Danio rerio: one gene and its partner. The protein of the gene in region 1 purifies or fractionates together with the protein of each later gene. This does not show direct contact. Links are inferred from orthologs where the notes say so. Each region holds a gene or a part of one and is shown on either strand. Other genes may lie near its edges.

Region 1 (6,024 bases):
ACAAGTAAATAAGGAAGTGTTGGTGGGAGTATTTTTCGATATTGAAAAAGCATACGACATGATGTGGAGAGAAGGACTTTTAATTAAATTAGAAAAAATGGAAATTAATGGAAAAATGTATAACTGGATCAAGAATTTTTTGTTAAAAAGAACAATACAAGTTAGAGTGGGTTCTGCATTCTCCCAAATATATAAGGTAGAGAACGGAACACCACAAGGGAGTGTTAGCAGCCCTATCCTATTTAATATCATGATAAATGACATCTTTTCAAAAATGGAGTTGGGGATCGGGAGATCTTTATATGCAGATGATGGTGCGCTATGGAAGAGGGGAAGAAATGTAGTTCATGTAGAAAGGTGTTTACAGAATGCAGTGAGGACAGTACAAGATTGGGCGGATGAGTGGGGGTTTAGATTTTCTACTGATAAAACTCAGGTTATTTGTTTTTCAAAAAAGAAAGTTAATCCAAATATAAATATTAATATATACAGACAAAAAATAGAACAGGTATCAGTAATTAGATATTTAGGAATGTGGATGGATGTAAAACTGAATTTTAATATGCATATTCAAAAAATAATAGATAAATGTAAAAAAGGAATTAATGTAATGAGGTGTCTGGCAGGAGCTGAATGGGGTGCATGTCGTTTCTCGCTTAAAAGAATCTATAATGCACTGGTAAGATCTACTATAGATTATGGATGCGTAGTATATAGTTCCGCAGCTAAAACTCAGTTGTTGAAAATAGATGCGATTCAATCTCAGGCACTAAGAATATGCTGTGGAGCACTAAGAACTACACCCATTATAGCATTACAAGTAGAGATGGGGGAAATGCCTCTAAAAATTAGAAGAATTAAGTTAAAAATGAGATATTGGGTTAGCATTAAAAGCCAAGAAGAGAGGCACCCAGTAAAAACAGTACTAAAGGAATGTTGGGAATATGGACATAAAAAGATAGATAGTTTTGGTTGGACAGTAAAAGACGAGGCTCAAAATATGGGCATAAGAGACATCAATTTAGCCCCTGCTGTGCCAACCTCTGCGATTCCGCCTTGGCTTTTCCATAAACCAGTAGTCGATTTATTACTACATGAGGAAAAACACAAAAATAATATGTTAAATGAAAAAGAAATACAACAATACATAAATCAGTCATATTTCAATTATTTACAGATATATACAGATGGGTCAAAAGATCCTAAAGATGAAAAAACGGCAGTAGTAGTTTACATCCCAAAATTCAATATTAAAATATCAAAAAGAATAACGGACCGACTTTCTGTGTACACTACAGAAATTGTAGCTATACTTCTTGCTCTTCAGTGGATAGAAGACGTGAAACCATTAAGATCAGTAATATGCTCCGATTCTCTGTCAGTACTAAACAACTTAATTACTGGAACATCTAAGGCAAGACAGGACATAATGAATGAGATAATGCAAAATTTATTCAGAATCAGACAGGGTGGACTTTTTGTAAGCTTCTTGTGGATTCCTGGTCATATGGGAGTAGTAGGTAATGAAGAGGCAGACCAACTTGCAAAGGAAGCATTACAACATACTCAGATAGAAATAAAAATAAAAATAAGTAAGTCAGAGGTAAAAAACATAATTGCAAAAGAAACAGGTAGAATGTGGCAAAGGGAGTGGGATAATGGAGAAAAAGGCAGACATATGCATAATATTCAAGGATGTGTGGGTGGTACTAGAAATAAGTTTAGTAATAGAAGGAATGATGTGGTAATAACTAGGTTGCGTGCTGGTCATTGTTTGCTAAACCAGTATAAGTTCAGAATAGGGAAGCACGAGACAGGATGTTGTGATAAATGCGGGAAAATAGAAACATTAGAACATGTAATTACAGAATGTGTGGCATATGACAATCAGAGATATCAGTTAGTTCAAGGATTAAGTATTTATGGGATTAAAAATTTGTCATTTCAGACCCTATTAGGAAACAGTTCAAATCAAGTTGAAATAATAATGCAATTAATTAATTACTTAAAGGAAACAAAATTGATTAATAGAATTTAAGAATAGCTTAGCAAAATAAGGAAATAAAATTTACTATGATTTTTAACTAGTATTTTTTTTCTTTCTTTCTCTCCTCTCCTCCTACTGTTATTACTGTTCTCTCTTCCCTATGGTAATCTCATCCCTCCATTCGTATCATATATCTTTAGTACTCATGCTTTTTCCAACATTATGCGCTCCACACTCCTATCCAGTAGGTGGCGGAAATGCACCATTTAAGTTGGTCTGCCAACCGCCATTAACCCCATAAGAAGAAGAAGAATTTCATTGGTTGTCCGTTTTGTGTTGTGTGTGTGGCTGCTGGCTAACGAGAGGTAAGTGAGTTATGTAAAACTGCCTTCATAATTTGTATAACTTTAGCCATTCTTGCGACTTTCAGTGTTCATTATTTTATAACGGTTGAGTCTTTAGCTTCAAATAATCTTTCATTTTACACAGTAACGTTTGAATCGGTCCGAGAAGAGCCAGTAGTGTCGCAGTCATGCCGCCTGGGCCTGTGCAGATCATGCAGCCGGAGCTGAATAACAAGGTATGAAGCTTTCAGAATTTATTACTTTCATAGACACGATGGGTAGGTTTATCCGATTTATATTCATCTGCTTACATTTTTCGTCTTTCATAAGTATAATACTGGGCATTATTGCAATTTTATAATTTATTGTTTTGAGTAGAAGCATTACTTGTTTAAAGTTAAACTTTAATGTATATGTTATCTGTTTTGTTATCTTTTGTAGCAGTCATTGTTGTATATATTCCCAGCATAATGTTGTTTTATTATTAGTATAAATATAATATAATATAAAAATATATATTATGTAAATGTACTGTTTTATTTCCCAAAATCGATGTGGTCAAAGACAACCATTTTAAAAGATAACGTAGTAGTGTCTACTTTATTGTTTAGAAAAAAAGGTTAATAAAAATTAAGATCTAAAAATATATATACTTTTGTAAAAAATGACAACAACAACAAAAGTAAACTTACATGTACTTATTAAAATAAGTAAATGATCCTTCTGCATTTTATTGTTTTTTCTTTAAGTAAAAATTTGGATAATAGATAGTTAAATTTGAAATATTTCATTTGCTTATTTTGGGGGCTGCAATGTGATCTTTAAATGTTTTTCTAATGTCATCAAAATATTCTTCAGATGTTAATTGAATAATTATTCTTATTTTTCTTTATAATGAAAAAAATATAAATACACAAATTACTTGTTAGTTTATAAATATACATATATTGTTTTGATTCTTAAATTAAAAATGAATATGCAAATTCTATATACAAATAATATTTAAAAATTAGGGGTGTTTGAATTGAATGTAAATTTATTGATATTTATTGTAAAAACTAATTAGTTTGTAATATAAATTTCAGTTTATTATCAGATTCTGTTTTATTGATGTTGTGAAATGAGAAAGGACAGTTGTGCAATTATAATAAAAAGTAATAATTTTAAGGACCATTTACAGTGAGAAGTGTATTCTGTTGTACAATAGAAACACTTTTGGCTGCAGTAAATCCAATTCGCTTGATTTTTTTCTGTTTATCTGATATGGTATTCTCACATAACATGGTAAAGTTTCTGAGATTGACACCACAAGCATCACCCATGCTTCAATATTTGTGTAGTAAATGAAACTGTGGCATTCATTCAGAAACACGCCTCATAAATATAGACTTTGTATTTAACTTATATTTTAGTGGTCTTAAAATTCTCACACAATAGTACACATCACAACTTCATTTTAAGGACATGATTAGTTTTAATGTATTAATTCAAAGCTTGTAACATTTAATGACATTGTATAATTAATTCCATATTTATGACTGTATTCTGTGATTTTTGTTTGTGTTTTCTGTATTATTTTGCTCATATTAAATAAGCTATGAGATGTTTTAATCAACAGCCCGAAGAACCGAAAGAAGAAACTCCAGCCACAAAGCCCATAGTGGGAATCATCTACCCTCCTCCTGAAGTGCGAAACATCGTTGACAAGACTGCCAGCTTCGTAGCCAGGTTTGACATCCTACCACATATATCATGTAGTGCAGTATTTCATTTGTGTACTTTTATTAAATCAATAATTAATTCCATTTATTTTGTCAAAGGAATGGACCCGAGTTTGAGGCCAGAATTCGACAGAATGAGATCAACAACCCAAAGTTCAACTTCCTCAACCCGAGCGACCCATACCATGCCTACTACCGACACAAGGTCAATGAGTTCAAGGAGGGCAAAGCTCAGGAACCATCCGCAGCCGTTCCTAAAGTCATGCAGCATCCTCAGCAGCTTCCTCAGAAGGTCAGCAACTTCTCTGTGGCTTTATATAAATATTATCAATATTATAGATGTAGACAGATAGTTTTATAATAGTTAAAATCAAGCCATAATCCAGCAGACAGATATAAAAAATTTTAATAGCTTTCTATGTTATAAAGAGCTTATGTTTTGTGATTATTTAGGTCCAAGCACAGGTGATCCATGAGACGGTGGTGCCAAAAGAGCCTCCACCTGAGTTTGAGTTCATTGCTGACCCTCCCTCCATCTCAGCCTTTGACCTGGATGTGGTGAAACTGACCGCACAGTTTGTTGCCCGTAATGGCCGTCAGTTTCTCACACAGCTGATGCAGAAGGAACAGAGGAACTACCAGTTTGACTTTCTCCGGCCACAGCACAGTCTGTTCAACTACTTCACAAAACTAGTGGAGCAGTATACAAAGGTAAATTATACTTTTTAGAAATGCTGAGGGCTTATTGGTTTGCAAAGAGATTAGAGATGTTCAGTATTTTTTCCTCTAATAATATTTTTGATTAATGTTTAAAAAAATGCAAGCTCAATAAATTAGCAAAAAAATTATTAAAACAATTATTCCATTTGTGAAAGCATTTAGAAGATACATTAGGGCTGGGGAAAAAATTGGTGATTTCCATGCACATTTTGTCAATAAAGCAATAAAAGTAAAGTAAGCTACATTCAGCTGGAGCAGCATTTGCCACACATAATTCACTATAAAGCTACACAAAACTTGCAACACTTGATGAATCTGTAGTTGTGTCTTTATTAATTAGTCTGAATTAGCGAAAGCAGTTAAAGTTTCCTTTTTAACACAATACTCTTTGGATTTCTTTTAGTTTCTGTAAGAGCAGCCTCTGGCATTTAGAGGAGATTTATTGCTGATCATGCTGTGCTTTTCTGACAATATGTGCATGACAAATGTAGCTTTGCTAAATGATGTTTGGGATTTACTTTAGATTAATTGACCAGTCCTAAGATATATTGTAGTTCGGTAATATCACACAAACAAATACTTTTTCCCTGAAAATCAATTGCAAATGTGAAACCCCCAAATGCAAAATACAGGTTACAAATACAGGTTATTCAAGTGTGACATTAAATAACTTGTTTGATTGGCTTTTTGCAGGTTTTGATTCCTCCAAAAGGTCTTCTGCTGAAACTGAAGAAAGAAGCAGAGAATCCTCGAGAGGTCTTGGACCAGGTAATCAAATATAGAAATGAACACCAAAATTTAAAATTTCAGGTCACACGGGGTGTGAATGAAAAAAAAAAAAAAAAACATAAGATATTGGTAGACAAAATCATATTTAGAGTTTTTTTGTGCCCTAAACATACTCTTTGAGCTTTGAATGATTGCAGTTTAACCAGTGAAGTTTCATGGATTTTTTTAACAATGTCTTTGATTCTTTTTTTTTGAACTTTTAATGTCTCACGAGTATTGCTGCCTATACATGACAATATCTAAATCTTACATTTATGATGAGATAAAATCTTTAAATATCAACTCTTTATGTTCTAAAGAACAAAAAAGGTTTCTGAGGATTGGAACAACATGAGCATAAGCAATTAATAATAGATTTTTAAAAATCTGGGTGAACTAACCTTTAGATAAAACGTTTTAGAAGACACATTTTACCAAAGCCATTTACATTTGATCAGATCTTGCTTTTCCTGAGGAAAAAACT
Region 2 (5,722 bases), on another chromosome or scaffold:
GCCTGTGTCTGAAAGAGAGGTCACTTTAACTCAAAGTCAGTTACCTTAGAAACTCTCTGTGAAACTTACTCTGTGACCTTAACCTGGTCAGGAGCAGGTTTTATTCTCTAAACTCGAGTTTCTGTCGGTGTCCTCCATTTTTTTTTTAAAGACGAAGCTATATTTCTCACCTTAGCCTTACATTTCCACCCATCTATTCTAATGCACATTTTAGAGATGCGTATAAAAAACGATTGATGGAAACGTCATGATGCACATAACTTTTAAAAATAAACATTATGAAATATGAGCATAACGGAGTACGATAAACTTTATATTTAATAAGATGCACATAAACTGCGCTGGAAACACTTTAACTTAACAAATTAAAGTATGTACATTAAAAAGGTTTGTTATAAGAGAATATATGATGATGAAAATGTGTGTGAATGGACAAACCAGCAGGCTGAGCACACTGTAGAACATCGGAAACGTTGTTTTGGTCATTCTAAATTGCATTAACCGTTTCAGTATTAATGTATATTAATTACCTCCAGAGCGTCAAGAGCATCTGTTCTCCGTGTCTCATGGCTTGAAACGCCCCCACGCGTTCATTGTGTATCATCAATGTCGTCTGAGGCACAAGTAGCTACATTTATTAAATAAAAAAAGATTGACAACTTTTACTGCGGTAAAATCTGTTTTTACTGTTAATATTTCAAAATGAACTGTAATTAATGGAATTATTACTCATTCTAAAACTATTTTTTAGTTCTGCTTACATTCTAAATGCCATATTAACCCTTTATCACAATAATAGAGGCAGACAACTGCACTTTAAATCTATTAAAACTGATCAACGTGTATAAAAGTGGGAACATGTTTTTTTTTTTTATAAATGTCACACGTTACATTCCTTTTTTATTATACTAAAATATTTAAATACTTTAGATGTAAAACTAAGCATTAACAGCAGCTATGTTTTCCCACGCTAACCGTCTGTTACATTGTTACTTTTTAAAATATATGGTCATATTTGCTGTAACTTTGCATGAGCACATCAAGTTCAGCTGGAGAAAGAAATGGTGATCTCTTTTTTTCAGATGTTGCCATGGTGAATTGTAATATCTGCGCTCCATTGATAATGCCTTTTTATAGTTGCGGTGTGCGCACTTAACTCTTGAGTTGGTCTACTCAATGTTGATTGACCTAACTCAGATCAGCTATTCTGAAACTGAAAACTCTGAGTTTTTAATCTCTCTGTAAATCAAATCAGAGTTCAAGTTTAAACTTAGAGTTGGTTGAACCTCCTTACTGAAACAGGCCCCTGGTGCCTGTCATGGATGAAAACGATGAGTCAACAGATTCATACACAATAGATTAAAAACAAATTTAAACTTTATTGGAATCTATTTCACATTTGATGATAGTCCACAGAAGGATAAAAAAAGAGAGAAGTCATGGGACACTAACAAAGTTTGCCAGCCTACAATCAAAAGATTAAAAGGTAGACGAAAAAACAACTGACATTAACCCTTATTGCCAAAATTTGTTTTAAAGCAATAATTGACAAAAAGATGAATTTACTGGTGACAAAGTCAAGGTGTACTGAATGTTTCTGAATTAATCACTACAACCATGTTTATGATAGTGAATGCATATCTATGTATACACATGCACACGTACAGAGAGATGTATTTGTTGTGGGAGTATTGTTTCTGTTACAGGCTGTAGAACTTGAGACTTCTGTCCATGCCTGTGGAAGCCAGGAACTGAGCATGTTCACCAAAAGCCACACCAGTCACCAGACCAGAATGATCTACAGGAAGAAGAAAAAGAAATTAAATTAGTTTGAGGACACAGAATAAGCTCTTAATTAAACAACAAACCCAATTTTGGACAAACTTCAAAGCGTTGTTCAACTCACCGGAGAAGTTGAGGACCTCGGACCACTGTTTGCAGATATAAACTCTGATGTCTGACCCTCCCACAGCTAGATATGTTCCACTCTGATCAAACACCAGGGACTTGACCTACATGATCAAAAAAACAGCAAAAATATTAGACAAACGTCCTGTAAGCAGAACAACTGGCAAACTGATTAAAACCATTTGACAGTGATATTTCTGGGATTCGACCTCGTAATTGTTGTCCAGAGTGATTGTCTTGAAGTTCTTCAGCTTCCTCAGATCCCACAGCTTCAGTGAACTGTCCTGAGCACCTGCATACAAAAAAAATGTAGTTTGCATGACAGTGAACACAAGTGATACTCAATGCAGAGCCAAATGGGCAGAGCTTGCTCAGAGTTAACATCTGTCATGATAAAAACTGGGGGCTACTGCGGAAAGCAGGTAATTGGACATGTACGTATAAGTGCCATGTAAGTGAATAACTGCAGCTTTCAGGTCCAAAAACCAAGATATCTTTTATAGTAAGAAACAATTGCTCTAAATATGCAGCAGGTTACGTTTTAGGGTTAGTTAGCTTCTTATCTACCTACCTACCTACCTACCAACCAACCAACCCAACTTCCTACCAACCTAGCCTCTACCTTTAGCTTCCTACCAACCTACCTAACTACTTACTTGCCTAACTTTTAACTACCTTTCTACCTACCCATTTAGCTTTGTACCTACCTACATACCCAACTGCCTACCTACCAAATTGTCCTACCTACCAACCTACCCATCTTCCTACCTACCTACCTAACAACCTCTCACACCCACTCTCTCTCTATTTCAGACTTACTCTCTCACACGAACTTCCTACCTACCTACCGAACTTCCGACCTACCTACCGAACTTACTACCGACCTACCGAACTTACTACCGACCTACCGAACTTTCTCCGACCTACCGAACTTGCTACCAACCTACCAAACTTGCTACCAACCTACCAAACTTGCTACCAACCTACTAAACTTCCTACCAACCTACTAAACTTCCTACCAACCTACTAAACTTCCTACCAACCTACCACACCCCCTACCTAACTTTTGAACTACCTACCTCTTAAACTCACTTATACATCAACATCCTATAGACCAGTGTTTCTCAACCACAATCCTGGAGGACCACAAACACTGCATGCTTTGGATCTCTCCTATGTCTGTCACACCCATTACAGGTTTTTCAGTCTCTGCTAATGAGCTAATGACTGGAATCAGGTGCGTTTGGTCAAGGTGACATGGAAAATGTGCTAAGCTGATGGGCCTCCAAGAATGTGATTGAGAAACACTGATACACCCAACTATAGACCTGAACAGTGCAGTGGCTTACAAATATTCAAAGACAAAATGCAATCCAAAGATGCCTTTTAAAAGAAATCTGTGTTTTTAAAACTAATATACCAGAAATCAATGATTTATTTTATTGATTAGACACATTTACTGTTTCACAATATTATGTCTCTTAAAATGAAATACATGTTTAGTAGTATAAAAAACTGATGTTTTTACCCAGACATTTAAAAAGAACATAACCAAGGTTATCATAGCGTCCGAATCTCATACAAGCCCATGCCTAATATATATGGTTGTGTGTGTTTCTTAATTTCTACTATTTCTTAATTTCTACTATTATTAGCATATAATATTACTATTTCTTAATTTATTTTGTAAGTTAAACACTCAAAATATGTTTAATTTATTTTTACTATTATTTACTTCTTACTATCTTACTATCTTTTAATAAAATACACCGGTTATGCAATCTTATTACAGAAATATATTCCCCCCCTAACAAATATGGAAGCAAAACCAACCAATCATTAAAAACAACTTCCAAAAGAGAAAGTGTAAAAAGTGTGTGCATGAATTCAAATCCACTTCATTATCCTGGATGTTGACAGCAGCTTCCTGACACGCACATATTACTGGACTACACTATCATTATATTATATACACACAGTAGAAGCCTACATCAAACACTTAAGGTAACAATGATTCATGACTAATGATTAATCTAGTTCTGTTAATAGAACTTACTCTCAAAAGAAGTTTTGGTGCACATACTTTGAGTAAGCAAGTTAAGGGTTAATCAACGCAGAGTTCAGGGTTAAGCAAACAGAACACCTACTTTGCAGCAATGCAGTAAAATTACAAAAATATATAAACTGTAAGAATTTATATAATCTTTAAGAACTTAATTACAGTAAGATGTTATAATGTCTCAAGCAAACCTCTGCATTAAATGTAATGTTTCATTTTTCTAATAATTTTAATTTCCGTTTTTTTTCGTAATAACTCTAGTTCTCTAGAGCTGCAGAGAAGTAAACTAAAACTTGCTAAACAACACAGAACTTAATCAACACTGAAATAGTCACCATGGCTTCTTTATAGCATGATTCAGATCATATTTGATGGAGGCCCTTAATTCTGTCATTTTTTGCATTAATAACTGTAAGGCTGATTTGCAACAATGTACTGTAAAACAGTATTTAAATAACTACTTCAGAAAACAGGTAAAATGCAGATTGAACAATGGACACAGACAGATCACATGACTCACCAGTGGCTAGATAGTATCCATTCTCAGAGAAGGCAATGGCCGTGACTGGACCTGAATGTCCAGGGAAGTTGGCTACATTGGTTCGTTCCTTAAGATCCCAGATCTTAATCTGAGAATCGCCCGTACCAGTGCCGAAAATCAGACCATCAGGATGGAACTGTGCACAGGTTAAAGCTGAAAGAATGAGGCAGAAATGCTTTTTAAATGAAGAGACAAATTAACACTAGACCTACCAGTACTACTTGGCCATAGCTGTCCTTTTGGCTGTTTTGTACCAAACTGAATTTTTTTTTTTTTACATTTTAAGATTTTATTATCAAATTTTTAATGTTTTTCCTTATACTTTATGAAGTCATTACCCTAAAAATACTATCTTTTTTTTTTTTGTAACATGGCTTATAATCATGTACAAAATGCCTGTATTAAATATGTTGAGTGAAATATTTTGAAGTAAATCATTACATTTCATTTTTATCCTAACTTGACAAATTCTAAAAGAGAGCTTGTTTCAGTTTCCACACTTATAAAAATAGCATTCAAAAAACACTTATTCAAAATCTGACACAGTGCAGCTAAAATAATAAAACATACCACATCCAGCAGTCTCATCAGTGACTTTGGTCAGGACACGTCCAGTTTGGATATCGGAGAAGGCCCAGTACTACAAAACAAACATTTAAAAATGTAACTACACAGAATAAAAATGTAACTACACAGAGACTTCCCTTCCATAAAAATAACAAAGCATGTTCTTTTTACATGGGAAGTGAAACGGAAAACCACAACAACAGTTTCCACTCGTTCTGGGGAAATTTTATTTATTTTTAAATAAAATGTCAATTTTTAAAAAATCATGATTTGACAAATGGTTGTTTCTGCTAAAGTAGTCTTTGACAATGCTTTTATCCAGTAAGTGTAGCATACTGCTAATGTTGTAAATTATGCTTGATTCACATTTTATTGCAAAGCTACAAAAATTTTCTTAATTGTCTTTAAAATCATATTTCCCTCAAATATAGTCTTAAATTGGCCCAAATCTTCAAAAGCGTCAGCACTTGTGGCCAACAAAAACAAACAAGACAAGAATTATGGCAAAGACAAAATTCTGTTATTTTAAATTTTTTTAAGATTTTAGTAAATAATGCATGTAGAGGTTTAAATAATGTAACCTTGAAAAGTGTAACTATGGAAATGTACACACAGAGGCCGCATCAAAAACACTACATACACTGCAC

Evidence for each region. Proteins that work in one complex are often made in the same cells at the same time.
Region 2: the proteins of sf3a1 (region 1) and prpf19 fractionate together in Homo sapiens (co-fractionation; 3 studies listed by BioGRID and IntAct, with this or other methods). This does not show direct contact. The link is inferred for Danio rerio from reciprocal best matches to the Homo sapiens genes SF3A1 and PRPF19.

What each region holds. Positions count from the first base shown.
Region 1 is NC_133183.1:43,421,510-43,427,533, forward strand, and holds the start of sf3a1 (splicing factor 3A subunit 1), read left to right. Parts: upstream 1-2,334; 5' UTR 2,335-2,352; exon of another isoform or gene 2,353-2,356; intron 2,357-2,476; 5' UTR 2,477-2,519; coding exon 2,520-2,567; intron 2,568-3,949; coding exon 3,950-4,059; intron 4,060-4,151; coding exon 4,152-4,344; intron 4,345-4,505; coding exon 4,506-4,763; intron 4,764-5,465; coding exon 5,466-5,540; intron 5,541-6,024. UniProt on the Homo sapiens protein: Component of the 17S U2 SnRNP complex of the spliceosome, a large ribonucleoprotein complex that removes introns from transcribed pre-mRNAs.
Region 2 is NC_133189.1:18,671,312-18,677,033, reverse strand, and holds the end of prpf19 (pre-mRNA-processing factor 19), read right to left. Parts: intron 5,149-5,722; coding exon 5,079-5,148; intron 4,662-5,078; coding exon 4,488-4,661; intron 2,201-4,487; coding exon 2,118-2,200; intron 2,013-2,117; coding exon 1,907-2,012; intron 1,799-1,906; coding exon 1,701-1,798; 3' UTR 1,360-1,700; downstream 1-1,359. UniProt on the Homo sapiens protein: Ubiquitin-protein ligase which is a core component of several complexes mainly involved pre-mRNA splicing and DNA repair. Required for pre-mRNA splicing as component of the spliceosome.